Linked DNA regions of Rattus norvegicus. The protein of the gene in region 6 interacts with the protein of the main gene of each other region in a pairwise test. Links are inferred from orthologs where the notes say so. Each region holds a gene or a part of one and is shown on either strand. Other genes may lie near its edges. The genes, in order: Edrf1, Rab4b, Deup1, Rab14, Rab4a, Exoc5 and Tnpo2.

Region 1 (3,500 bases), on a different chromosome or scaffold from region 6:
ACACTAAAATTTCAGTTCATTCACATCTATCTCGGAGCCAAAGACACATCTTCATATTTAAAGCCTTAAAAATGTGAAATTCTCTCTGCACCATTCTACATTTGAAAAATTAGAGCCATCACCCCGTGTCTTACCTGTACAATCCCATTTACATGGAAGCACATCACAAGTTCTGGTACATTGCATATCAAGTTGTCCAACCAATAGTCAATTCCAGTCAACACATTAATTGGTTTGTTGTTATCCCTGAAAAATATACATTTCTAGTGTTATTTGGTTAAATAAATGTCCCATAATGAATCATCTTAGATGTATTTTCCCATTTAAATATCCTAGTCTTTTCTCTCTAGACAGAGACTGCCATAGATGTTTTCTAATATGAAGACCCAGACACATAGCTCAACAGTTGTGTTATGTCTAGAATCTTCTCAAAAACTTTGCATTTCTAACAGGCATTGATAAGTTCTCAGTACAAATGGAAGATTACGGTATGATGATGCGACTGTGAGCTCCTTGCATCCTAAGGAAACACTGACCATATAAATGATAATGCCCAAGTCACAACTCCCATTGGTTCACAAGCATGGAGCATTAAGAAAATGTTCACAATTGCATAAGGGGAAGGTGGTCAACCACCTCAAGCAATTAAATAAACTCTTCTATTTTCAGTAGTTGTAGCCTCAACCATAAGACAAGGCCAGTTCCACAGACATATGGTCTAGTCTTTTAATCAGGGATCAGAATGGACACCTGTTTACTGGGCTATCAGCATCTGTTTTCTCTCTTTCTGTGGCTATTCTCTTTGGCAGGAGGAAGGAGAAGAAAATAGGGAAAGAGGAGAAACCAACAGTCAGAGAAGAGCTAATCAGACATTGCACTTTAAGGTGGTTTACCTGAGACGTAGGCTAACTGCTGGATATCTGCCTCCACCAAATATAGGCATGTTAGAACCAACTAGCATATGGATATCTTCAAAAGTCCACAGAATATTCCGGACAAAATCATTTTTAAGACCCTTTAATTTAAAACAGGAAAGATTATAATAACAGCAGATGGACAATTTCCCCCCATGATCCAAAGAAACACCAGGAAAGAAGAAGCAGAGACAAGGTCAATTCCCAAGAGCTGTAAGACAGAGAGATGTTTACAAAGCAATTTTGAAACCTAGTGGAAATATCCCCTATCAGTTCCAACTGAGACTAGTTTTCCAATGAGGAAGTGGTCAGGGCCAGTTGTCTCAGATGGGCACATGGAAAGCATACCTGACTGTTCTCCCCGTCATTGAACAAAGTAGTAAGGTTTTGCTCTTTGGGTGCTGAGGCCACATGCCCCACTATGCATGAGGGCTCAAGAGGCTCTCTGCCCTGTGGAAAGTGCAAGATAAGGAGTGACTGTGCTGCCAACACGGCTTACAATTGACCTATGCTTACAGAGTTATCACCCACACACAAGAACACACACCCCAATCTACCTGTATGAATTAGCCAGTACAATGCATGGTGCTCATAACTCATGGGGTATAGCTTGCTTTACCTATGATTTCCCACAACTGCTTCAAACCAATCATATTTATCTCTTAAATGAGGTAGATTTAAAGATCTTTCAAAGAATCCACTTTCATTTCTTGGTTTTGTAAGTTTGATTACCACTCTCTGGAAGTCCAGCACATCTCTACTGAACTGAAACACCTAGTACCTCCACCAGTTTAAAACAACCTTCACTTCCAGTCTGCAGCTGAGCATGGCCTGTGTGAACTCCACAGAATCCTAAACCCTAGAGACCCAGAGAAAACTTTCCAATTAGTGTGAAAACCTGCTGCCTGCCATACACCTGCTTTTAAAGATTAATGTCTATCGAACACCATTCTCCCTACCACTGTCCTAAAAACCAACCAAACAAAACTAAACAACCCAAAATCCAAATCTTTTAAATGGAATTAAATTAAATTAAAAAAATCTACCTCCTTCTCTGTATAATCCAATGTCCTCCCATCTTTTAATATTAAAACTCCTCCTTTTTTTGAGACAGGGACTCTCTTTGTACCCTATCCTTTTGTTTTCTAAATGTATCTCAGAGTCTGGAATACATTTAGAAAAATACCCATATTTTGGGTAAACACAGCATATCATGCAGTTTTGCAGCCATCAGGCAGCTGTCACCAGGAGACATTTGACTATCAATCCTCTGCCTCTGGCCTTGGGATGTGTGCACGTACATGCCTTCATGAAGCTATCTTAGTCTACTGACTTAGAGGAAGATAAAGGCTCCCCTGGAGCTGGAGTTAAAACAGCTGCCCAATGTGCGTGCTGTTATGGAACGCAGACCCTCCAGCCACTCTTCTAGCCACTGTAATGTGAGTTTTAAGAAATCCTGTTACAGATAGCACATGCAATAAAACACATAAAGTAATGATACACCTCTACTCCTTCCTCTAACCACTAAGTGACTTAAATATTATGCACCTCCCTCCTTTCAAGAGAAATCCTTGGGGAAAAAATAAACCCAAACACCTCAAATTCATTTATGTACTTTTATGGAATGTCTTCTCTAAAATTAAAACCAAGTTAGTCATTTTTTTTTTATAAAAGCAAGTTAAATGTGTTAATTTTTTACAAGTCTATTATAATGTGTAAAGACTGAACCAATCTGGCTGAATCATGTTCAGTACATGAAAATACACAGCAAGACAAAAAAAAAAAAAAATTTTACCAAGCTAAAAGCTTTATTTCTTTGGGCTTATTTTAGTGTATTTTCCTAAAAATAAAAATGCCACAAATTAGCATCTACAGTGTTATTTCATCCTATGGAAGACACAGTAAGTTAAAAACAAGTAACTAGGGGCTGAAATGATGGTTAAGAACACTGGCTCTCTTCCACAGAACCCTGGTTCAATTCCCAGTGGGAACATGGCAGGTCCCAACTGTCAGTTATCTCCAGGGAATCCAATACACTTTTGTGGCCTCTGTAGGCATCAGACATGCACACGGTACTATTCAAAAATGCAGGCAAGGGGCTGGGGATTTAGCTCAGTGGTAGAGCGCTTACCTAGGAAGCGCAAGGCCCTGGGTTCGGTCCCCAGCTCCGAAAAAAAAAAAGAACCAAAAAAAAAAAAAATGCAGGCAAACACTCATATACGTAAGATAAAAATAAATTAAAATCTCAAAAACCAATAATGTAAATAAGAAGCCAAGAGGATGAGATAAATAAGACAATAGTCTATCCTTTCTTCACATGGGCTGGAGAGATGGCTGAGCAGTCAGGAACACATGCTGCTACTCTAGAGGACCTAGGTTCAATTCCCAGCACCCCTCATATGGCAGCTCACAACTGCCTGGAACTCTAGTTTCAGGGGATCTATCAAACCAGGCATGCGTGTGGTGCACAGATCTGTGCATACGGGCAAAACATCCATACATATAAAACAGATTTTAAATCTTCATATAATGTTAATGTGGGGCCAATTCTATTTTCCAGGGGGAACACCATCCATTTTAGAATGA
Region 2 (4,133 bases), on a different chromosome or scaffold from region 6:
GGCTAGATGCATTGCAGTGTGATCACCGGTTGGTTTTCTTTCTTTCTTTTTTTTTAAAGATTTATTTATTTATATGAGTGCTCTATTTGCATGTATGCCTTCATGACAGAAGACTGGTTGGTTTTCTATCTACTCTTTTTTCTACTCTTTTTCAGGAATGGGATTTCTACTGTCAATGAGCTCAACCCACCGATGTTATCCCTGCAGTTACCCTTCCGGTTTGGGCAAATACAGCGGCCAACTGCAAAGTGTTTTGTCCCTTTGGTTTTTGGGGTGGGCATGTACAAAGAATGTTTCACGGGTTCCTGAACCTAGCCAATTAAAGCCCTGAATGTTGTAACGTCAGTAGTTACTAGGCAGAGTTTCACTTTGCATGCCCTTTGCTCCAAGGTAAGGTTTGGAACCCCCACCCCACCCCGGGCACCCAAAGCAGGGGAATAAACAGTACAATATACGTATGCTTTCCTCCCTTTAGAAAGGAGTTGAACTATTGGTCTGAGCCAATTAGATCCCAAGAAGCGCATAGATGGCACAGACCTTTTTCTTTCCTTCCTTTTTCCTTTTTCTTTCTTTCTTTCTTTCTTTTTTGAGACATGTTTCTCTCTTTTTTTTTTTTCTTTTTTTTTTTCGGAGCTGGGGACCGAACCCAGGGCCTTGTGCTCGCTAGGCAAGCGCTCTACCACTGAGCTAAATCCCCAACCCGAGACATGTTTCTCTATGTAGCCCCTGACTGTTCTGAAACTCATTATGTAGATCAGGCTGGCCTCGAACTCATCGATGCCTCTGCCTCTGCCTCCTAAGTACTGGGGTTGAAAGCATTCGCTACCATGCCCGACCAGCAGAGGCTTTCTTGTAGATTAGGGATCAGTGTGCGCGTGTCCTCTCAGCTTTCCTCTTTCCGGCCTGTGGGGTTAGAATTTAAACCAAGCAGCCTGAGACCGTTCTTCCAACTCTGTCCATCCTGCCCTTGCTCCTTCTTAGCATTCGTGTCCCCGCCCCAATGCCTACGTCTAACCAATCCGGAGTCTCGTCTCTGCTCCGATTTTTGACCAAATCCGTTCCTCCGTCGGGCGCAGTATCTTTGCCTCCGCCCTCTCCTACTTGCTCCACCAATCGCTCTTCTATGTCACGCCCCTTTTGACTCAGCCCCTCTCATGCTGCCAATCCGCGCTGCTTGTCCCGCCCACTGTCTCCTGAATCCACCAATCCCTGTGTTGGGCGAGCGTGGCCTGGTATCCGCAGCTCCAGAGGCTCGCGCGGGAGTGGGGGGGGGTGAAGGCGGAAGTGGCGGCGCCGGGTCCAGGAGTGGAAAGGAGCTGAGGCTGCAGCCCGAGTGGAGCGGCTGCCAGCCGGGGAACAGGCGCGGCCGCGGCGCCATATTGCGGCCCTCAGCGGTCGCCACCGAGCCATGGCTGAGACCTACGGTGAGGATAGTGGGCCGAAGCGGGGGGCTGGGCCCTTAGTGGATGTGGATGTGGAAGTGGGGCGGGGCTTTCTGTTCAGGTGGGCGGGGTCTGCCGGGATACGGGGCAGGGCTAAGTGAGTCTGGGGCTGAGTTTAATCGATTTGGGTGGAGCTTGAAGAGACCGCTTTACGGATTAAAAAGATCTAGGCGGGATTTGAGGGACCTAGTCGTGGTGGATTAGGGTAGGTGGTAGGCCTTGAAGAGGGAAGCAAGTCTTCCTGGGCGGAGCGTGAGTGGATAGGGCGGGGCTAACTAGCAAGGGTCGTGTTTTATGGACTCCAGAGAGAGCTTCACACAGATGCTGTGGACCCTGCAGTCTGTGGGGTTGATCTGGTTTGAAAGGGCTGGAATGATGTTCCTGAGTTATAGATTTGAAATTTAGCGCCAAGGGATGCGGCTGAAGTTTAAGGATAGAGGCCAGGGGTTCTGGACAGAGGATGGGTAGAAGAGGTTCAGAGTTAGGCAGTCAATATGGATGCACACTGTCAGGTGGGTAAAGGGAGGTTGGAGGGCAGTAGAAAACTCTGACAACAATCAGAGACAGCTCCATTCATTCAACGCTCATAGAAAAGCCAAAGAGTCTGGTGCACAGTTACCTTGGGAGGTAACCGGGTTAGGAAATAGGGCCAATGTCAAAGGCCTTGACAGAGTGAACGGGTGAGAGGGTGGTAGGAGAAGTGAAGAGGAATGGAGTCCAGCTTTGATTCTTGTTGAAATGGCTTTTTTTTTTTTTTTTTTCGGAGCTGGGGACCGAACCCAGGGCCTTGCACTTTTTTTTTTTTTTTTTTTTTTTTTGGTTCTTTTTTTCGGAGCTGGGGACCGAACCCAGGGCCTTGCGCTTCCTAGGTAAGCGCTCTACCACTGAGCTAAATCCCCAACCCCTGCACTTCCTAGGCAAGCGCTCTACCACTGAACTAAATCCCCAACCCCCTCTTTCTTTTTTTTTTTCTTTTTTTTTCTTTTTTGTTCTTTTTTTTTTTTTTTTTTTTTTTGAAATGGCTTTTGAATTGCACCAGCTAAAGTCTTGCATTGTGGAGACCTTTGGTTTGGATTTGTATCTTAGCTGTGCCTAGCTGTGTGGTCTTGGGTAGGTCAGTTAACCTCTTTGGCTTCATTTTCCTAGTCTGGAAAGTAGAAGAACTTAGTATACTTCCTTCTCTCTTTAAAAAAATTTTTTTTAATGTATACATTTTTTTTTAATGAGTACACTGGAGCAATCTTAAGACACACCAGAAGAGGGCATCGGATCCCATTACAGATGGTTGTGAGACACCTTGGGGTTGCTGGGAATTGAACTCAGGACCTCTGGAAGAGCAGTCACTGCTCTCAATTGCTGAGCCATCTCTCGAGCTGTTTAATTCCTTCTTTAGAGCTTTTTTATGATTTCATTTATGATTCAATGAGCTGATGACATTTCATAACAGTCTTTAGGACTGTGATGGGCATGTAAATGGTAAACACTATATAAGAATAATCTTGTGTGCTCTAACCCTCACATTTGGGAAACTGAGGCAGGAGGACTGCTTCAAGTTAGAGGTCAGCAAAGTAATACTCTTTAGAAAGAAAGAAACAGGGAGTGTGCTGGCACATCCTGTACTACCAGCAGTGGGAATGCTGAGGCAGGAGGATTGGAGTTCAAGACCAGATAGTGCTACACAATGAGTCCCTGAGTGGGAAAAGAACGAAAGAAATACAGGGGATGGCAGCGCACTCTTTTAGAGGCTGAGGCAGGATGAGTGTGGAGTTTGAGGACGGCTAGGTCAGTCTGGACTACATAGTGAAACTTTGTTTGGAACATCAATGATAATAATGAAGGAAGGAGTCATCTCCAGCCCAGTAGGGGTGCGCACCTCTAATCACAGCACTCAGGCTGGTGGAAGAGGCAGGGCAATCTTTGAGTTTCAGGGCAGCCTTGTATACAGAGTAAGTTCCAGGACAGACAGGGCTACACAGAGAAACCCTGTCTCAAAAGAAAAAAATCATGTTGGGCTAGGCTGGCTAGCATGCAGGATGTCCTGAGTTCTATCCACAGCACTGTAGACTTTAAAGATTTATTTATTTTATTTATAGATGGTTGCAAGCCACCATGTGGTTGCTGGGATTTGAACTCAGGACCTCTGGAAGAGCAGTCAGTGCTCTTAACCACTGAGCCATCTCTCCAGCCCAGCACTGTAGACTTTAAAAAAAAAAGTTTTTTTTCCCCTCTCTCTCTCTCTTTTTAATGCATGGCTGTATTTCTACTTTTGTGCATCTTTCCTTCTGACTTTGTTTCTTCTCTTACTCCCTTTGTCTTTCTCTCCCTCTGGATATCTTTGGTGCCATCTGCTCAGACTTCCTCTTCAAATTCCTGGTGATTGGCAGTGCCGGAACTGGCAAATCATGTCTCCTCCATCAGTTTATTGAGAATAAGTGTGAGTTTCTGGTGGGACCCTGGGCCATTGGGCAGCAGGCGGGGCAGGTGGCAGGTGCCGCTGGATAAAGCTAGTGCTATAGGTTTTGCCTCTGGCTTGGTCTGGGTGGTCTTTGCTAAGTTCTCTGCCAACCCAGCAGTGAGAAATTGGGGTTCAGAAATGGAGGAGGTCTGCATGGGGGGGGGATTCCAGGAGCCCCTGCACTGCCTCCCGTTTCCCTCCTACTTCAGTCAAACAGGACTCCAACCACACTATTG
Region 3 (4,044 bases), on a different chromosome or scaffold from region 6:
CAGAATAATGAAGTTTCAGGATAAGATGAGATGACCATGCTTCACCCAGTCACTGTCAGAACTGCACTAAGCAGAACTAGCTTCCTGAATTACTCCACATGACTCATCTGAGCACCGGGCAAACCTGGATGGAGGACTGTGGGCTGGATTAAAATTGACGGCCATGTTAAAGTAGCAAAGTGACATGAGTCAAAAGAATGCAAATGACAGGCTTTAAGAACTAGCAATCAATCAGCTGAACATGCTGAGAAACAGTTATGTTCCTAAAGTAGGCCCAGCAGCATCCCCCAATTCACATGCTTGCTGTCACACCTGTGTGTGTGTATAATATATAATATATAATGTGTAATGTGTAATATGTACTATGCAGTATGTAGTATGTAATATGTAATATAATACATATAATATATAATAAATTAATATGTAATTATATAATGTATATAATAACATACATGTATCAGTGCATGTGTGATTTCTTTATTGTCTGTATTTTGTGCCAAGTATATATACACGTATGTATATTATATATAACTTGTAAATAGTACATGTATCAATGTATTGTGATTTCTATACTGTATGTGTGTATTCTGTTACATATGTGTGTATATGTGTATATATACATACATATACATATATATGCATTATGGTATATAACGTCATTTTCTAAGTGAAATCAACAGGGTCAGACTGAGATTCTGTCATCAATTATGGTTGGAATGTGGCTGAAAAGGAAAGAATTTGGAATCAGTTACCGAGGATCCGGGTTGGTTCCCACCACTAGAAGCTACTCCCTTGTTCCCAATACAGCCTAATCCACCTAACTGGCAGTTTTCCAAGGACTCAGAGAACTGTGAGGAAGAGAGAGGTTTAAATGGTGCGAATACAGTGACAGAGGAGTGAGCCTAACCAATTCCCAGCTGGAAGTTAACTAAGGTGAATTCAAAGGGCCTTTGCCTGGAGTTCTTTCCCTCCCAACCCTGGTTTCCTCTGGGAAGAGGGCTGAGGCCCAGAGTTAGGTATCCCAGTCTCTGTGGCGCTCCTGGTGGCCCACCAGCTCTCTGATTGGGCAGTGTCCTCCCGCGCTTCTCTCGCGCCCCTGGGTGCGGCGGGCCGCAGCTAGCCAGGATGGGCGGATCTTGGAGGCACTGGACTGGGCACTGACCGCGCCAGTACTAGGGAGTTCCGGCTGGAGGGAAGCAGACCGGTGCGGAGGCCGCGTCTCCATGGCAACCCATTGGGGACCAGAGGCCAACGGTGCCGGCCGGGCGGGGTGCTGCGGGCGGGACCCACAGCCCAGGCCAGGGCAGACCTCTCCAGACAGCAGTACAGGTAACAGGCGGCTGACTCCCTGAACCCAGGACCTGTCCCTCCCCTAGGCAGCAGCTGGCTTCCACTGCCTCCAGCAGACCCTGGGAGTGTGCCTCAGTTTCCCTCTTTTGTCTGAACTTTTTGATCTAGTTTTGTCTCCTGTCACCTCCAGTGTCTGCCCCACTGCTGCAATTTCCTGTGGTGCTAAACGGTCTGAATGGAGATTCCTCCTATCCCCTTTCCCCTTCCTTCCTTTCCTTCCCCTTCTTCATATTCATCCTGTTCACCTCCCCCTCTCCCACTCTCTTCTTCTCTCTCCCTTTACCCTCTCCTCTCTTTCCTCCTCCTCTTCATCCTCTTCAACACCTTCTCTTTTTCCTTCCCTACCCCTCTCCTTCTCTTTCTCAGGTACTTAATTAGTTCATATACTTCTTAGTAAGGTTAGGTCCAATTTACCACTTTGTTCATTTATCCTTATAAGTTTATCCACTAATGGGACAACAGTGTGTCTGTGTTGTAGGGGTGGTGTGAGGGGGTATGGGGAGGTGTAGGGGGTGATATGGGGAGGGTTGGGAGGGATGTAGGTGCCAGGGAGGGAGAGGGCATCTGATTGCCCTGGAGCTAGAGTTATAGGTGGTTTTGAGCTCCCCGACCAGTGCTGGGGTCCTCTCTCTGCACTCTAAGCTCAATGACTGCTGGACCAGTTGTCCAGCTCCTGTTCTTGGACTTTTGTACTAAATCTCCTGCTTTATCTACTCCTTTAAAAGGTCAAGAAAAGCCAACAAAAGAATATACTCCAAGGCAGAGGATAGGGAGTCGCTAAGATGTAAACTCCAAGGGCTTCTAGACAACACTTCTCAGAGCAAGAATTAGGAACTGAGCACTCTGAAAAGGCCACTGACACCTAGCTGCCTTTGAGTTAAGGAGGAATGCTTTCTGGTTTCAGCCAGTACCAAATATTGCAAACAAATGCTGAGCCAGTATTCCTACTTGTGTGGAAACTTCAAGCCAAAGAAACCTCCCCACCCCCCACCCCCCACCCCCACACCCTACCCACACCCCCACCCACACCCACACCCCCACCGTGGGCCTTCTGTACTTGTCAAAGCTAGAGCTTCCATGCTCACAAAACCTATACTAAGTGGCTGCCAACAGCAAAAATATCATATCTTATATTAATATGTGTAAGCATTTTATAATTCTAAATAATTTCCCTCCTCACAGATTAAATATCAGTAAGTACCAAGTCAGATGTAAACATTTCTTGGCATGGAGAACCAAGCCCATACTACGGCAGGGTAAGTGCTGCAGAAATTCTATTTAATTAGCTCATCTTTATGCCCAGAAGTCCTGGAGGAAGCGTGAGTTCTGAAATGAATTGTTAAAAATAGGATGTGCTGATTGGGGGAGGGGGTAAATAGACAGAAAATCTCAAGTAAGTTATGAAGTCTCTATTCGTGTGAATCTTTCTGATGTTGAGTCTATACCCTGGAAGACAGCGCTTCCCGACTGATACGTCAGCATCACAGGTTGGGGACCCACGCTGGCCTCCTCAGCCCTTAACATGTCCACAGCACAGCACTTCCTGGCCTTTTCTTGCTGGGGTGAGTGGTTTCTCTGCTCCTACATAAGACTGGCCACATTTTCTCAACATATAAACACAGCCCCACGATGCATATATTTCCATAGCACAGCAAGAATTGGATATTTTAGAATGGGGTTTGGAGAACATTCACCATAGGAAATGGGCCAAATTCCGCTTCACAATTATTTGTCCTGCCTCTTCTCCTGCATCAGCACCATGAAGAGTTCACTATCCTTCTGCCTCTGCTGGACTCACACTGAGGCAGCAGAGGCACTCACATCAGAGCCCAGTCCTGAGTGTGGCTGCTTTTGACCCAATCACAACTCTAGCGTCTCACTTCCAGTGACTCTGCTTCCCCTGTGACTCTGACATCAGGTAAAGGAAAGGAGAGAAGCATGAGTAACTAAGACTACGTTTCGAGTCCGATCTCCTGGCCATAGCCCTTATTCTCAACAAGAAAACAGAATACATTATAGTAGAGCCAGAACCCCTGAAACACACACACGCGCACACACACACACACACACACACACACACGCACATGCACAGGCACACACACACACGCACGCACACATGCACGCACGCACATGCACACACACACGCACATGTACACACATGCACATGCACAGGCACACACACACACACGCACACACACACACATGCACAGGCACACACACACGCACGCACACGCACACACATGCACACCAAGTGCACAGCCTTAAGTAACATGCAAACCCATCTCTATGTCAGAGTGAGTGGTTGCTCCGGTTCTAGCTCCAGCATTGTGACTGTTTTCCATCCTGGTCTTAGTGAGGGGGAAACAAGGGCAGGAAAGACTTTCCTTCTAGAAGTCTGCCTAGAGATGTCGGGCTCCCCTGTGTTCATTAACATTGGCCAGAACTCAGTCACACGGAGTCGTGAAAAAAAAGGCTCGGAAATGTGCTCTCCAGCTGGGTAGCACATGCCTAGCTATAGATCAGGAATTCCATACATGGTTGACGCTGGACTCAGGACTGCTCAGCTTGCCCGATCACCTGACGCTTGGGTGAAGCTCTGAAGAGGATGGTGGAAACCATCTTCTAATCTCTAATCTATCTTCTGTGGATTCACTCTGACAACGCTGGTGGCCTCAAATGCACAGTCAGCAGTGA
Region 4 (3,500 bases), on a different chromosome or scaffold from region 6:
CCTCTTGTGCTGCTAAGAGGCCTGGACCGGTAAGAGAGAATGAGTGGTGAGAGACCAGTTTTGCTAGTATGGAGCCTAGAGCTTTTGTTTTTGTTTATATTAAATTCGCTGTTGCTATGCATAGAGGCCTATGGATAAATGTCCATAGCAGCTTTATTTGTGATAACTAGAAACCAAAAGCAGGCCAGCTACCACAGACACGTGAATAGCAAAACAGTTTGGTTTTACATATCCCCACTACAGTGAGCTATTCAGCCACACCAAAGAAGGAGTTATGGTAACGGCATCAGCACTGATGAATCTCAAGAGAATTTTGCTGAGTTTAAAAGTCTAAAAAGCAGGGGTTGGGGATTTAGCTCAGTGGTAGAGCGCTTAAGGCCCTGGGTTCGGTCCCCAGCTCCGAAAAAAAAAAAAGCTTACATATTTTATGATCCCATTGGCGTGTTTCAAAATGGCAGTCCTGTAGACAGATAAAGAACAAACTGATTGCCAAGGGTTGGTTAGTGAAGGGTAGGTGGCTGATAGAACTGTGCAGAATCAGCAGTAGCAGTTTCTTGGTGGTGATGGTAGTTCTGTGCCCAGATGGAGATGACAGCTGGTGAGTGTTATTGCACTGCCCAGAACCACATGTGGACATAGTCACAGAAATGGGTTTGAAAAAATGGGTATCTTAGGGCTGTAATTGTACCAATGTTAGTTTTCTGGGTTTGAGAGTATAATATGGCTCTGTGAGTTACTAAAGAATTTAAAAAATGTTTTTCAAAGCCTACTTTATATTACTGTTTTCTATGAAATTGCCTTTTGTTTTTATGGGAAAAGTATGTACTTTTCATTTTTGTTACTGTTTTGTGCCTCTTTGTTACCAGACCTCTTGGGGGGTGGGCAGTAGAGACTGGAGATTGACGTGTAGTTGGGAAGAGAAAATACTTCTTTTTGAAGAGGGTGGTGGTGGAGGGAAGTGATGGAGACGGTGTGCCTGCTAGGCACATGCTCTGCCCAGCCTTCAGTCTAGAAGGTTTACCTCTTGGTTTGAATGCCTGTCTTATAATGACCCTATCCTAGGCTGGATTTCTCTTTAAGTGTCATTATTTTATTGTTCAAATGACTATGAACATTATTTTCCCTTGTCAGTGGTCACTTGCACTTTGAAGAATGTTTTTTGATTATACCATTTAACTTATATAGAAATAATTGATTAGTTCATTGGACCCCAACATTTGAAAGTGGAAGAGACAAAGTACTAATTTTATGTGGACAAAAAAGTTGGGAAGCACTTGTTGGTTGGAATCATTGTTTCCTAACATCTGTATCTGTTAAAAGAGGCAGAAAGGCAGAAGAGGGGCTGACATCTCTGCCCTTTGTGCCTTAAATAACCAAAACACCATTGTTTTCTTACCTTTAGTCTTTAAACAATTTTACTTTGGTAAAACTCCAAAGTAGACGGTGAGGTGATGTTTGTCCAAGGATTCGAACCTATTGTGTGTTTATCCCGTGCCAGCTTCTTTCACAGACAGAAGCATTGCTAGTTAGTGATAGAAAGTTATAACCCTCCTGGGATAACATCAGCTAGGACAGTGTTGTCTCTACGTCACAGTTTGCATTCTCTAGGGTTCTAATGCCCTCCGCTAACTCTGTCTTATTTTAATTTAAGGGGAAGGTAATTACTGTTACCCTGAATGAGTTAAACTGGTGGTTTTCAAGTTTCTTCAGGGTTGTAGAATCTTTTGAGAACCTGAAAGCCACAAGCCTCCTCCAGGGAATGTTCATGGTTATGGTGCTTTGCATTTAATTTTAGGGCATTCTTACTAATCTTGCTTACTCTTTGGCCTAGACCAGATATGAACTAACTGGCTTGTGAGCCATCTTCACCTAATGAATGACTTTTCTACTTTTAAGGGACTTGTGACAACAATAAAAATAATATTCAGCAAAACTCGTGTGGGGCTCACAAATCTAAAATATGCCTTCTCTTCCTTACGGCAGGTTGTCAGTCCCCCACCCAGCTTGTTGCCAGGGTCCTTCTTGGTGCTCTTGCCTTTGTAAAGGCTCTGTAGTCCAGGGCACTTAGGGGTCGTTTTTTGTCTTGTTAAGACTTTTGTATTTGAGAATTTTCATAGGTATTTTTGTTCTAAGACACCTTTTCTTTTGTTCACAAATTAGGTAATAATTCTCATAGGAAATAAAGCAGATTTGGAAGCACAGAGAGATGTTACCTATGAAGAAGCCAAACAGTTTGCTGAAGAAAACGGTGGGTTGAAGACTTAACACTCTTCTGTGGGAGTTTTAAAGGAGAGGAGTTTTAGATCATGCAGGTTATTTAATATTTAAAAAAAAAAAAAAAACCTTTTCAGAAATCTGAGTAAGGAAATGAAGTGTTTGTTTCTGTGGTACATGTTCGTAGTAATGCAGCTACTGAATGATAAGTGCAGATCTGCCCCTGCCTCAGACACGTGCTCCTTCATAAGGGCTGGAGGAGGAGGACGGGCAGCTGTGTGGGCCCTGCTCACATGTGACTGAAGAGTGCTTCTGACTCTGCAATGTTCTAATTTTAGTCTGAATTTTATTTTTAGGCTTATTGTTCCTTGAAGCAAGTGCAAAAACGTAAGTATGGCTAAAATGTAGATCATGTTTCAGTTCCACGTAGAGTAGAATCATGTGCTGTGTAAGTGGGTGATGCTGTAGACACCCATGTGAGCTGTGCTGTGTAGTGAGGCTGTGACAGTGCCCACAGCAGGAAGAGCAGTGAGCAGAAGCCTTTGTTTCACAGTACAAGGGAGTGCGAGCCTTTGTAACTTAAAGAGTTGTACCTCATCGTGTCCCCTGGTCCCAGGTCAATACATGAAACTGCTGGCGCAATCTCACAAGTGTCTGACTCTCACAGCCAAGGTTAAGGTTGGTATCTTGAACATGCAGCTCAGCCAGCATGTTCACACAGCATTAATGATCACCTTAAAGAATGATTCAAGGACATATGTACTCAGTGGCTAATGGGGCACAGTGAACACTTCCTGATTGTCCTTGGAGTTCAGCATTGACCCCCAGCACTCCCCAGTCATCGTTCTATATCCACACCAGGCAAGGACAGGCCAACCTCTTCAAATTTTTAGTCCCAAGAAAGCCGATCTGTGAACATGGTTAAACATGACTGTGTTGCCATCACATGATAAAGATAGCATAGTTTTACACATGGCTGTTTATAAAATACTGGTAAGCCTGGAATTCTGTCAGCACATTTGGAGAAGTTTTATTTGGAGAACCTGCTGTCATTTCAGAAGTGGCTATCTCAGGTGTCATGCAATGTATTAACAGAGAGCTGCAGTGAGTAGAAGATAGAAGTTCGCAAACCGATGTTCTCTTAGCCCAGTCTTCTGGTAATCTCTTATTAGATGACAGTGGCTAATTGGAAGACATGACAGTTCACTAAAGGTTTGCAGGTCAGCGTAAATGCCTTACATATTCTAGAAAGCTGTGCTTTGTGAATAAAGTTGTTGATTGTCTTT
Region 5 (4,195 bases), on a different chromosome or scaffold from region 6:
ATCATAGAGTTGTTCCTGAGGTAGGGTTAGTCTCCCAATGCAGCCTTGGCTTGCCTAGAACTCACTGTGGAGCCCAGACTGGCCTTTAACTCAGCAGTGCTTGGCTCTGCCTTCTGAGATCCGGAGCTAAAGGCCTGTGCCGCCATGCCCAAGCAAGACAGGTGTTTTGGATGTAATCTTGTTTGTGAGCGACTCTGAATATTGCAGATTTTCAGCTGGAAAAGAAATGAAACAGAGCTCAAGGGTCGCACATTCTCAGGCCTTCAGCTCAGTTCCTTGCTATTTTAACATTTTTTTTTTTTTTTTTTTTTGAGACAAGATCTCTCTCTGTGTAGCCCTGGTTGTCCGAGAACTCACCCTGGAACCAGGCTGGACTCGAACTCACAGAGATCCGCCTGCCTCTGCCTCCTCAGTGCTCGGATCAAAGGCATGCGCCAACACTGCTGGGCTATTTTAACATTCTTATATGAAATATCTCTATATTAAATGAATTGTGCAGGCACTCATTCTTGTTATTTTAAATTGTATTTACTTTTTTTTTTTTTTTTTTTTGGAGTCGTGTCTCTATCATCTGTTTTCCCTCCTTGCTGTGTAGCCCAGGTAAACCTTCAACTTGAAACAATCCTGCCTACGCCTCCCAAATGCTGGGATTATAGGCAAGGGACACCATGCCAGGCAATCTCAACAGTCAATTTCGCATGCTGTGCCAGCAAGGGACTTCAACAAGATTCCAGGATGAAGGGGGATCCTTTCCCTCCCCACGTCTTATTTTTCCACAGATCCGGTCTCTGCAGCTGTGAAGAAGGCAGGCTCTTAGGCCCTGCTTTGCTCAGGTGGGTCAAATTCCTGTCCCCAGTTTCCCGTTCAATAAGTGTCCCGACCCTTTTCCTCGGAAGAAGGAATAGGTTCTGACCTGTATTGTTCCATAAACCGAACACACCTTTGAAATTAGCCTGCAGTCAGGGCCACGCAACACTGCACTGTCCACTAAAGCGGGGAGCAGGAGAGTTCACGTGACCAAGCACACCTGCCTGAGCTGGAGTTGGCTTTCTGCTGGTGAACCCTCTTTCTGTCAAAACAAGCCCTCGGGCGGGCGGCCTGCTGTGCACCCTAGCCTGGTAGGTAACACTTAAGGAAGACTGAGTCTGTACTGCTAAGCCATCTGGGAGGACCTATGGGGCGCAGGCGCCCCCTCCCGAGCCCCGCCCTCCTCCTTCCTGGTTCCCTCCTTCATCCTCCCTCACCTTCGCCTCCTCCTCCGAGTAGGAGCCTCTAACCAGTTCTCTTGCCCTCCCTCCTCCCCTTCCCCAACCTCGCTCCTCCTTCCTCCTGCGACCCCGCCCCTCCCCCCTCCGCCCGGCTGCTTCGCCGGGCGGCGGTGCGCAGGCGCGGAGCCGAGTCCCGCTGGGCCGCAGCCGGTGGCCGGCTCGCCGTGGGCCCGTACCCGGCTCTCCACACTCGGTTCCTCTCGCTCTGCGGAGACTGGAGGACGAACCCCGTGGAGCTGTGGCGGCAGGATGGCGCAGACCGCCATGTCCGAGACTTACGGTAGGACGCGCGGGCTTGCGTGCGAGGATAGAGGGGCAGGCCTTGGGGTCCCGGAATGTTGGGGGCTGGGGTCAGTCAGGGTGTCCAGAGCCGGTGTCTAGACTATCGAGATGTCGTGCAAACCTCGCGGTGTCAGGGGCCAGGTGGAGATATTGAGAATCTTGGGTTGTTTAGGGTTGGGTTGGGATTCTAGTCATGTCAGCAGTTGGGATCCTGAGAATCTGGGTGTTAGGGGCCGGGTGGAGATACTGAGGATCCTGAAGTGTCAGCGGCTGGGAGCCTGAGATTCTTGGGGTGTCAAGGTCGAGCTGGAACTTGAGAATGTCTGGGTGTTTCAGGATAGGTTGGAATCTTGAGGAGCTAGGGGTGCCAGGCGCTGGGCTGGACTCGGTGGCCAGCAGGTGCCCCCAGCTGTGCAGAGCTGCTGTGAATCTCTCTCCCAAGGTCCCCCCTGCTTTGACCCTGGTTTCACCCTACATTTTCCTCCTTGGGTTGTTTAAATGGCTCAGGGTTGGAAGAGCCAATTTATCGTTGAGTTTCCCCCCTCCTCACTGCAGCACCAACCGCGGGGATGAAGGTTCTGGGCCACGCCTGCATTCAGTGGCTCTGGGGGCACGGCTGTGGGCCTCTCAAGGTTTGGAATTCCTTTCTTTGCATTGAGATTATAATGAGTTTTAAGTGGATGAACGCACCTCTTTTCTGGAGACCCCTGGCCTCCTGTATCTTTCCCTTCCTCCCTTCCTCCAGCATATGTTTGCATTATAGAGATTTATAAATATATTTCCTCTTTATGGCCAGAGGCCTTGGATATGGAGCTGTGGTTTTGTTTTTTTGGTTTTTTTTTTTTTGTTGTTGTTGTTGTTTTCGTTTTTTTTTCATCTTTTTGTTGTTGTTGTTGTTTGTTTGCTCCTGCAGCACCCAGGCGTTCTCAATGCACGTGCTGGGTGCTCCCCCTCCCCCAACCGAGGTAAGACTAAACAACTACTACTATGCATGGTTGGCCCACGCTTGCCTGTACTGAGACCTGAAACTTTGACTCAGTCTGTGCTGGTCCCAGAGAGGGACTCCCACGGAAAATCGTGGTGATCTGTCAGGTGATCCCCATCCAGTATGTGCCCCCTGCTTTCTTCCTGCCACAGGGTGGGGTCAGGGTACCTCCAGGAAGGTTCTACTCATTGTCTGAGTGCGATGGAAACCTCCCCAAGAGTTTGCAGTCCAGCGAGGAGTAGATTTTTATTTCAGATGTGGCCTTAGTGGGTGAACAATTATAAGCCAGGCAGCAGCTCTGAGGGATTCAGCACGGCTGTGTGAGAAAGAGCTGACCTAGATGGGTCAGAGACAGGCAAGTGGACAGGCAGACCTGGGGTTCAGGTCTGGGAGTGTGGCTTGGGCACCTTACCTTGAGAAAGGTGAGGACACAATTGAAGAACTTCGGCGGTTTGGACTTTGAGAGGGTGGGACCCTGGAAAGGGTGTCATGAGGCACACAACAGCCTGGTCCACTATCACCCAGAACCAGCATCCACTCTTCCTGTGGCACTGGGGCATAATGCTTGTCCCTGTACGCTAAAGGCACTATCCAGTGGGTGACTGGCTTTGTCAAGGCCACAGGTGGCCTATGTATGCCTCTGTGGTGTGGTGTGGTGTGGTGTGGTGTGGTGTGGTGTGGTTTGATTTTTCTGCCAGGAGCCACTATAAGAAATGCCTCCAGCAAAATACACTCTCTAGCTCATTGTCATCCTTTTCTTTGAGTCGCCTGAGGAGTTCCTGGGAGGAGTAGAGCCCTCAAAGAAAGCCTCCCGGTGTCATGGCCAAGTGAGGCAGGAGGAGGACAGCATGGGAGGCAGCCTTGTCCCTTGGTTCTCTCAGGAAATGATAGGTAATAAGGCGGACATCACCACACACCCTCTGCTTCACGGCACGCAAAGTTAATTAGGGTTTGCTCACCACAGCGTACTGATTAAACTCTGATCGTGAAGCTGTCACTGTTAGTATTACCTCAGGGACTGGAGATAAAACTCAGTGGCAGAGAGCTTACCTAGCATGTGCAAGATACCAGGAGGCACACACATTTTGTGTGTGCCTGTTTATTAATTTACTTATTTCTAATTTACGTGCATTGGTGTTTTGCCCAGGTGTATGCTTGTGCGAGGGAGATCTTGGAGTCACAGACAGTTGTGAGCTGCCATGTGGGTGCCTGGAATTGAACCCAGGACCTTAGGAAGAACAGTCAGTGCTCTTAACCACTGAGCCATCTCTGCAGCCCTGTGAATATTTACCTTTTCCCTTATTTCAAGGTATTTTTCCCAAATATGACTTTAGTTTTATTTTTTTGTTTGTTTTGAGACAGGGTCTTTCTCTATAGTTCTGGATGGCTTAGAATTCACCGTGTAGCCCAGGTTGGCCTCACACGTATGGCAATACCCCTGCCTCTGCCTCCCAAGTGCTAGGATTATAGACATGTGTTCCTGTTTCCAGGGTTTTAATTTTCTTTTCTTTTCTTTTTTCTTTCTTTCTTTTTTTTTTTTTTTTTGGAGCCAGGACCGAACCCAGGGCCTTGGGCTTGCTAGGCAAGCGCTCTACCACTGAGCTAAATCCCCAACCCCCAGGGTTTTAATTTTTAACTAAGTCTGAATCTAATATTTCTT
Region 6 (3,500 bases):
GTCATTTAAAAACTAAACTTGTGATTAGAATTTGGGTCTCTTGGTTATTGGTTCATTTTTGACTTTTTTTTTCTTTTTTGTTGATGTATTCTAAGGTTGAGAATATTTGCAGTTATAAATCTAAGTATAGTAACTTTTTTTTATTTGTCTTTATGGTGTACTAGTATTCAAGATTTGAAAGAAAGGATTAGACAACGTACCAACTTACCACTGGGGCCAAGTATTGACACACATGGGGAGACTTTCCTATCTCAAGAAGTGGTAGTTAATCTTTTACAAGAAACCAAACAAGCCTTTGAAAGATGTCATAGGGTAAGAATAATAAATTAATTTTTAAGATATAGTTGTATAATTCAAGTTTTATCTCATTTATGGAAAAAATGTACTTCCTGGTTAGGACCTACTAATTTTTTAATATTCTTAATCAATATGGTTTATACAAATTGTGTATGTTTATAGGTACCATATGAAGTTTTGATAAAATTATACATCGAGTAATATTCTCATCAGAATGAGCATGTGTATTCTCAAACATTCATTATTCTTTGTGGTAAAAACATTTAAGATCTATTCTGACATTTAAAAGTACTCGTAGTATTTAAAAGTATATAGAACATTGTTAATCTGTTGTTATCCTACTGGTGCAGTAAAACACCAAAATCATTTCTGTTCCCTAACCAACAGTTCTGTTCAGCGGTCTTCCCTCATTCTCCCCACCTCTTCCCACTCCCTCCTCAGCCGCTGCTCACCACATTCCACTGTCTACGAGAGTCCCTTCTTTAGATTAGGCATACGCGCAGGGTCACGCACTAGTAGTTGTTCTGAGACTGCTTGTTCTGCATGTGTGAATCTACCGTTTATCTTTATCCACTATTTAACGGATACTTACATTGATTCTGTCTTTGGATGTAGTGAATATTGTTGCAATAAAATTGGAATGCAGAGCCCTCTCTAAACAAGCAGATTTCTTTTCCTTTTTTGTATACTAAGTAGCAGGACTATTGCGTCCCCCTTTTTAACTTTTTGAGGAGCCTCTACATCACTTTTCATAACAGCCGTTTACATTCCCACCAACAGTGTAGGATGTTCTCTCTCCTCCATATCCTCACCAGCATGTTACCTTTTGTCTTGCCTTCCTAACTGAAGTAAAATGATCATGTTTTCACCGTGTTAGTGCCTTATGTGTTCTCCATATGAACCTATGATTAATAGATTGTATAATTGCCTGTTTTCTCCTTATTCTGTAAGCTTTCTTTCATTCTTTGCTGTTTCCTGTACTGTGTAGCAGCTTTATAGTTGAAGGTAATCTTGTGTGTTTTTACTTTTGTTTCCTTTGCTTTGGGGGTCTCATTCAAGACGCTTCTATCCATTCCAATGTTATGAAGTATTTTCACTACCCTTATTTTGTAGTTTTATAATTTTAGTGCTTACATTTAAGGCTTTACTCTAATCTGAGTTAATTTGTGTCTATGATTAGAGACAGTAGGTACCTGCATACAGTCCCACACCAAATCGACAGTCTTTCTCTAATTTGTATTAACGTTTTTATCAGATCAAAAAGAAACTTCCTGTGGCTAGGCCTGGGCCAACACTAATCTTTGTATATAAATGTAACTCTTTAGGGCGTAGTTTAATAACCTGTCCATTTAGCTAGATAGAAGCAATAGGGTCACCACTAGGGTCTTGGGCATTTGACCAAGTCCACAGCACTAGGTCTGAACTTACTCACGCGGAGCAAACGTCAGATCCCAGCAGAACCGTGTTGGTTGCTCCCCTCACAGCCAGTCACACCAGCTACACCAGCTTGTCACTCATCTCATCAGCCTCGGTGTCTGCCCCTTTATGCTAAGGCGTGTGTCCTGGAATTTGCCCATTTCTCCACACTGTCAAAGTTGTTGACGTACTTCTATTCATGATAATCTATAATCCTTTGTATTTTTATAGCTTTCATTATAATGTATACTTTTTCATCTTTCATTTACTGATATAGAAAATTTGTTTTTCCTTTTCTTCAAAGAGTCTTACTCAGTAGCCCTGGTTGGTCTGGAATCCATTATGTCACTATGTTGACCAAGCTGACCTGGAGTTCCCACAGACCCTCTGCCTCCTGAGTGTTGGGATTAGCACTGTTCATGACCATACCTAGCTCTTAGTCTTTGTTGTAATCGTTTTTCTATTTAGTTTGAGATTGCATTATTTCCCATCCCCTTTACTTACCCTTCTTCACTCTCTTTTAAATTTATGGCCTCTTTTTAAATTAATTATTGTTAAATTCTTAAATTCATGAATACAACCTTCTCGGTCTGTATAATGTTGCTTGTATGTATGTTTTCCGGGTTGACCATTCTATTGGTGATTGACATGCCATTCCCTGGAGAAAGCTTTTTCTCATCCTCAGCGTCCCTTAGTTGCCTGTAGTCTCTTGTATAGGGCTGAAGCCTCAAGTTCTCCCCAACCCCGGTTAACATAGCTGTTGTTATCCTTGCTCAGCTCTTGTGTTGTTGGTGGACCTGATGAGTGTAGCTTCTGACATTTCTCGGAGACATGCGCATAGCAAACATGAGATCTAGAAATCAAAAGTAGCAACAATTCAATGTGAAGTGGTACATTTTTAAAAGTCCATGCTCTTCCCGCTCTTAGATTCTTTTGCCCTCTTCCATGACCGTCCCTGAGCCTAGGTGTAGTAATTGTGTGGTGGCAGTATCGCTCAGACTCGAGTCTGCTCTCTAAAACACAGTTGTTTGTCTTCTTGCCAGGATTGCTTCATCCACAAGATACTGGTGGTTTATTTCCATTATCATGCATGTCAAGATAAAAATTTCATTTCCTTTATTGACTTGTTGATGATTTAGTTGTTTAATGTCCTTGAATTTGTATAAGTTCCAAAGATTTTTCTTGTTATAATTTATTTAGAATATACTTAACTTTTAAGAATTTATTCAAATTTGTATCTCCTATCATGTATAATGAAAAATGTCCCATGTGTTTTTGAGAATATACATGCAGTGGCCTTGATTGGAATGTTTAATAACTGCCTGCTTAAGTTCCTTTGGTCTACGGTCAGCTTGATTCTGATTCTTTATTATCTAACCTGTCTTTTGGTGGTTAATCCATCCATTGTTGAAAGTGAAATTTTAAAGCCCCTGTAAGGGACTTTATTGTATTGGAACATATCTTTCCCTTTAAACTTGTTAATATTTGCATATTTAGTTGTTCTAATATTGGATATCTTCAGTTGTTAGTTCCTTTTGTTGAATTAGTTCAATCACTATATAATGACTTATCCTTGTCACTTTTTAGCTTTCATCTGATTTAAATGATACCTGCTTTTCATACGGAGTCCATCTCTGTAATATCCTTTCTTCGTCTTTCTATAATGTACAGTTGTCTTTAGAGGTGAAATGTGTTGGGTTTTGTTTATATACGTAGTATATAGTTGAGTCCTTTTTAAATTCCACTCAGCCACTCAGAGAATTTAGTTTATTTACATTTTGTGTAAT
Region 7 (4,173 bases), on a different chromosome or scaffold from region 6:
CGACTCAGCGATTAAGAGCACTTGTTGCTTTGCCACAGGACCCTGGTTTCAAGTGCCAGTACACGTACATGGCAGCTCACAACTGTCTTGTAGCTTTCTAGTTCCAGATTTAACACCTGACTTTCTCTGCCATCGGGCAGAAACGTGAAGCACAGACATGAATGCAGGCAAAACAAACATAAATTTAAAAAAATTGCCATGTGTTTTTTCTCAGTTCCATGTAAAGTGTTAAACAGTATTGAACAATAACAGAACAGAGAGTTGCTCTTGTAAAAGAAAAAACGCAGCAGCCCAAGTTGCATGCCCTGCTCTTTATGTCGGTGTAGTGCTATTTGGAGGCGCGAAAGAGAAACAGGCTCCCTCCCCCCTCCCCGTTTCTCTGTGTAGCTTTGGCTGTCCTGGAACCAGCTCCGTAGACCATGGCTTTTGTGATGTAGCCCAGGCTTTCCTGGTACTAGGGGGCACACTGTTGCCGTACTCTCTATCCCTCCCCTCCCTCACCACAGTCCGGCAGTTCTGAGGCATGCCGGACTGCGAACAGTTTAAATCTTAGGGAGTTTTAGCAAGGGCACGGTTAGCTGTGGTTGAGGGAATCCCTAGGTCCATTACACACCGAGAGCACCCATGCACTACCAAATTTCTAGCTCCTGAAAAATCTGCAGTTGGGGGCTGGAGTCTAGTACTGTCGGCTCTCGCAGAGGACCCAGGTTTGATTTCAGCATTCATATGGCTCACCACCACCAGCTTCACAGGCGTCCAATACCTTCTTCTGGTCCCTACGGCACTGCGCGCACATGGTTCAGGCAAAACACCAATATACATTAAATAAGAAAGCTGCAGTAAGAAAAAGGGAAAGAGACGCTGGGAGGACCTAATGGCTAGAGAGGCCTAGAGGCGGTGCTTATTCTCTCACGTGATTCAACTTGGCTAGGCCGCTCTGTGCCAGATCACGTGTGAGTGCTTCGCTCTCCGATTGGTTCGGCTAGGCCAGTTTGAACGGCGTACGGAAGCCGAAACTGTTCATTTCGGCCGCGTTTTTTTTTTTTTTTTTTTTTTTTTTCTTCTTATTCCCTGCCTCTGGCTCCCTCCTTCCGCGCGAGCCTCTGGAGAAGCTGCAGCACTTAGGCGCCTCCGCTGCCTCCCGGGGCCTGGTAGGTGGGCCTCGCTCGGCCCGGGCCCCTTGGCTTCAGCTCGCCTCGAACCTCCCTGGGTTCTGGGCCTGCGCCGCGCGCCGTCCAGGCGTCGGGGTCGCGCCCGGCTGAGAGGCGGGGTACCGGGTTGGGCCAGCTCTCGAGGCCGGCAGAACGGGCCGGGCGGGGGAGGGGGAGCTGAGCTGATCTCAAGGGGTGGGGCCTCGGCGCCCGGGCAGGTTCGGGTGCCACGAGATGCGGGCCAGTGGGGCGGCTGGGGTCGGGCTGGAGGGGCCCTGATTGGGGGAATCGTCGGGGGACGTCGCGAGGATCGGGTGTGTGTGGGGGTCTGTTTCTGCGGGGCTTGGTTGGGTCTGACTGGGGGTAGACAGCCTTGAAAGTTGAGAGGGGAAGGTTGTTTGGTCCTGATAGGGAGGGGCGTCAGACTTAAGGCCAGAGGGCTTTGCTGAGTCTGACTGCGAGGCGGTGATGGGATCCGTTGAGGGTAGCGCACCGGGCGGGTGTTTGTGCGGGACTCTTTAAGGGAAGCTGCAGGGATTGGACGGATGGGGTCTCCGACACGAAGTGGTCGGGGGGCTTAGGGGAATTTGATTGGGGGAACTGCCAGAGATCCGTCAGCATTAATTCCTGCTGACTGGGGAGGAGGGTAAGGGCTAGAGAGGCTTGGCCAGATCTGATTGGGGCAGGCAGCGGGCATTGGGGGCTTTGGTCCTGGGTTGGGCGGTTTTGACTGGCTCTCATTCAAAGAGACATTGGAGACTTATCGGGATTGCTTGTATTCTGGTTAAGGAGAGTCACTGGGCCGCGTCTAGGTCAGAAAGGGGGGCATGTGGCGTCTACTGAGCTTGTAGAGCCGGTTTAGAAGAGGGAGCAGGGATAAGCAGGATCTGGGCGCTTAGGGACCTAGAAGAGCTCAGGAATCTAGGAGGCGGCTGGCATCTAGCGGAGCTGGAAGGCTGGATTTTGGGGAAGGGAATCCTCGTGGACTGAGCCTTCACCTGAAAGACCGCTGGGGCGGAGCCCCTAGCCCTCGAGGGAGGCGGAAGCCGTGAGGCCCGTAGCTGGGGGCGGCGGTGGCGTGGACCTCTTTGGAAAGAGGGTTTCCTCGTTAGGCTCGATGTGGATACGTCGCGCCCCCGCCGCTGGTCCTGATGGCCCGCTTTTATATTCCCCCCACATGCACTCCCGAGCCCGCGACTGCGTGGCCGAGGATGGCATAGCTGGCGGGGACCCCGCACTTGGACGGGCGCGGATTGGAGGCCTCCGCTTGTCCGCGGAGAGCGCTTGCGTCTGCATGCAGCCGCCTCTGCCTCGGGGACTCAACTTGGGTCTCACACAGAACTCCAGCGACCCAGCGCTGACCCAGGCTCCTACCCCTGCAGTTCGCCTTGCACCATGGACTGGCAGCCAGACGAGCAGGGCCTGCAGCAGGTCTTGCAGCTTCTCAAAGATTCGCAGTCGCCCAACACAGCTACTCAGCGCATAGTGCAGGATGTATCCTTCTTTCCTTCCGGGGCTCGTGGAACAGGGCAGAGAGGGAGGGACTACTTCTTGATTCCCAGACTCTTTCTGCTGTGAGAGAACATGACATGGACGAGAATTAAAGGGTTAGATCTTTGGGTTCCATTTCTGGAAGTGGAGAAAATGATGGGGATGCCTGATGTTCACTGAGTACTTAATTCTTTAACCGTTAAAGTGAGAGTTGTTGACTTTCCTTTAATACATGGGAACCTGGAGTCTTCTAAAGGGGAAATGCCTTGGCCAAGCCTCAGCTAGCAACCAGGGTTTTGAGAAGACCAGGCATCCAGCCATCTCCGATTTTAATCCAGTCTGCCTTGTCAGAATGAGGGTAGATGGATGGGTAGGGACATTGAGTTGAAACATGAATGTTTTTGTAGTTGGAAGCTTTTTTCCTAAGAGCTTTTATAAATACATTTACATGTATATATGTATATATATATTTAAAGTCCTGGTTAGTTTTGTTATTAATTTGGTACACCTATGAAGAGGGGCCTTCAGTTGAAGAATCTCAATCAGCTTGGCCTGCGAGCATGGCTGTGGGGAATTGTTTTGATTACTAATAGGTTCTGGGCTGTGTAGGAAAGGTTGGTGGATGTGAGTGGGGAGGACCTAGTAAGCAGCTTTGTGTAGTGCTTTCTTCAGTTTTAGTCCTCGAGTTCCCACTTTAGGACTTCTCCCTGATGAGCTAAAACAAATGCTTTGTTCCCTGACTTGGTTCTTTCAAGTGCTTTATCACAGGACAGAGAAGCAAATTAGAGCAAGTCCCGAATTTTAAATGATATAGCCATGATAGCATGCACCTTGAATCGTGTAATAACGGTATTCAGGTGGCAGAGGCTGGTGAGTCTCGGAGTTTGGGTGCAGCCTGGTATTATGAAGACTATCTCAAATATAAAATTAAATGTTTGAAACAGTATTGAGTTTCATTTGAAAATGGGACTGGCCCACCGCCTTTCTGTGCAGTGCTGAGAGTGGAACACACCGGCCTGGAACGTGTGGCCCCTGCTTTATCCTGGACCTGTACCCTAAGCTCTGCTCCTGGAACTCAGTCATCCACTCGCTTTATTTTCTCTTAATAGGGCTGGAGACTCAATGGTCTGGCCTCACATATGCTGGATGTATATTTTACCACTGAGTTATATCCCTGGGCTCTTTTCTTTTTTCTTTCTTTCTTTCTTTCTTTTTTTTTTTTTTTTGAGTCATGGTCTTTGTATAACAGATTAAATTATTAACTTAGAACTGAATATGTAGCCCAAGTTTGCCTTGAACTCAGGGTGATCTTCCTGCCTCAGCTTCCCTGGTGCTAGGATTCTGGCCATGCACCACACCCAAGTGGCTTTCCAGTCTGCCGAGAAAAGCAGGTTTCACTGGAGTCCCTAGATCACAGACGTGAGTAGCAGCTGCCAGTTTAAGAGAAGTCATCTTTTTCCAGTCCTCTCCTGCTCTGGTAAGGATATAAGGGTAGTGTAGGAAGCGCAGTCATGTGATCCTCCTGAGAAGG

Evidence for each region.
Region 1: the proteins of Exoc5 (region 6) and Edrf1 interact in binary tests that used the Homo sapiens proteins (3 or more experiments, as listed by UniProt). The two-hybrid records come from large-scale screens. The link is inferred for Rattus norvegicus from reciprocal best matches to the Homo sapiens genes EXOC5 and EDRF1.
Region 2: the proteins of Exoc5 (region 6) and Rab4b interact in binary tests that used the Homo sapiens proteins (3 or more experiments, as listed by UniProt). The two-hybrid records come from large-scale screens. The link is inferred for Rattus norvegicus from reciprocal best matches to the Homo sapiens genes EXOC5 and RAB4B.
Region 3: the proteins of Exoc5 (region 6) and Deup1 interact in binary tests that used the Homo sapiens proteins (3 or more experiments, as listed by UniProt). The two-hybrid records come from large-scale screens. The link is inferred for Rattus norvegicus from reciprocal best matches to the Homo sapiens genes EXOC5 and DEUP1.
Region 4: the proteins of Exoc5 (region 6) and Rab14 interact in binary tests that used the Homo sapiens proteins (3 or more experiments, as listed by UniProt). The two-hybrid records come from large-scale screens. The link is inferred for Rattus norvegicus from reciprocal best matches to the Homo sapiens genes EXOC5 and RAB14.
Region 5: the proteins of Exoc5 (region 6) and Rab4a interact in binary tests that used the Homo sapiens proteins (3 or more experiments, as listed by UniProt). The two-hybrid records come from large-scale screens. The link is inferred for Rattus norvegicus from reciprocal best matches to the Homo sapiens genes EXOC5 and RAB4A.
Region 7: the proteins of Exoc5 (region 6) and Tnpo2 interact in binary tests that used the Homo sapiens proteins (3 or more experiments, as listed by UniProt). The two-hybrid records come from large-scale screens. The link is inferred for Rattus norvegicus from reciprocal best matches to the Homo sapiens genes EXOC5 and TNPO2.

Annotation. Positions count from the first base shown.
Region 1 is NC_086019.1:197,878,129-197,881,628, reverse strand, and holds part of Edrf1 (erythroid differentiation-related factor 1), read right to left. Parts: intron 1,365-3,500; coding exon of another isoform or gene 1,263-1,364; intron 1,016-1,262; coding exon 894-1,015; intron 247-893; coding exon 135-246; intron 1-134. UniProt on the Homo sapiens protein: Transcription factor involved in erythroid differentiation. Involved in transcriptional activation of the globin gene.
Region 2 is NC_086019.1:91,597,538-91,601,670, reverse strand, and holds the start of Rab4b (ras-related protein Rab-4B), read left to right. Parts: upstream 1-1,333; 5' UTR 1,334-1,408; coding exon 1,409-1,424; intron 1,425-3,795; coding exon 3,796-3,876; intron 3,877-4,106; coding exon 4,107-4,133. Other genes in the region: Mia (melanoma-derived growth regulatory protein precursor), read left to right, coding at 156-179. UniProt on the Homo sapiens protein: The small GTPases Rab are key regulators of intracellular membrane trafficking, from the formation of transport vesicles to their fusion with membranes.
Region 3 is NC_086026.1:20,720,786-20,724,829, reverse strand, and holds the start of Deup1 (deuterosome assembly protein 1), read left to right. Parts: upstream 1-1,244; 5' UTR 1,245-1,329; intron 1,330-2,532; 5' UTR 2,533-2,577; coding exon 2,578-2,606; intron 2,607-4,044. UniProt on the Homo sapiens protein: Key structural component of the deuterosome, a structure that promotes de novo centriole amplification in multiciliated cells.
Region 4 is NC_086021.1:38,901,685-38,905,184, reverse strand, and holds part of Rab14 (ras-related protein Rab-14), read left to right. Parts: intron 1-2,160; coding exon 2,161-2,248; intron 2,249-2,570; coding exon 2,571-2,601; intron 2,602-3,500.
Region 5 is NC_086037.1:68,691,686-68,695,880, forward strand, and holds the start of Rab4a (ras-related protein Rab-4A), read left to right. Parts: upstream 1-1,395; 5' UTR 1,396-1,517; coding exon 1,518-1,548; intron 1,549-1,555; exon of another isoform or gene 1,556-4,195. UniProt on the Homo sapiens protein: The small GTPases Rab are key regulators of intracellular membrane trafficking, from the formation of transport vesicles to their fusion with membranes.
Region 6 is NC_086033.1:24,803,942-24,807,441, reverse strand, and holds part of Exoc5 (exocyst complex component 5), read left to right. Parts: intron 1-164; coding exon 165-312; intron 313-3,500. UniProt on the Homo sapiens protein: Component of the exocyst complex involved in the docking of exocytic vesicles with fusion sites on the plasma membrane.
Region 7 is NC_086037.1:40,021,388-40,025,560, reverse strand, and holds the start of Tnpo2 (transportin-2), read left to right. Parts: upstream 1-1,373; 5' UTR 1,374-1,465; intron 1,466-2,490; exon of another isoform or gene 2,491-2,533; 5' UTR 2,534-2,546; coding exon 2,547-2,645; intron 2,646-4,173. UniProt on the Homo sapiens protein: Probably functions in nuclear protein import as nuclear transport receptor. Serves as receptor for nuclear localization signals (NLS) in cargo substrates.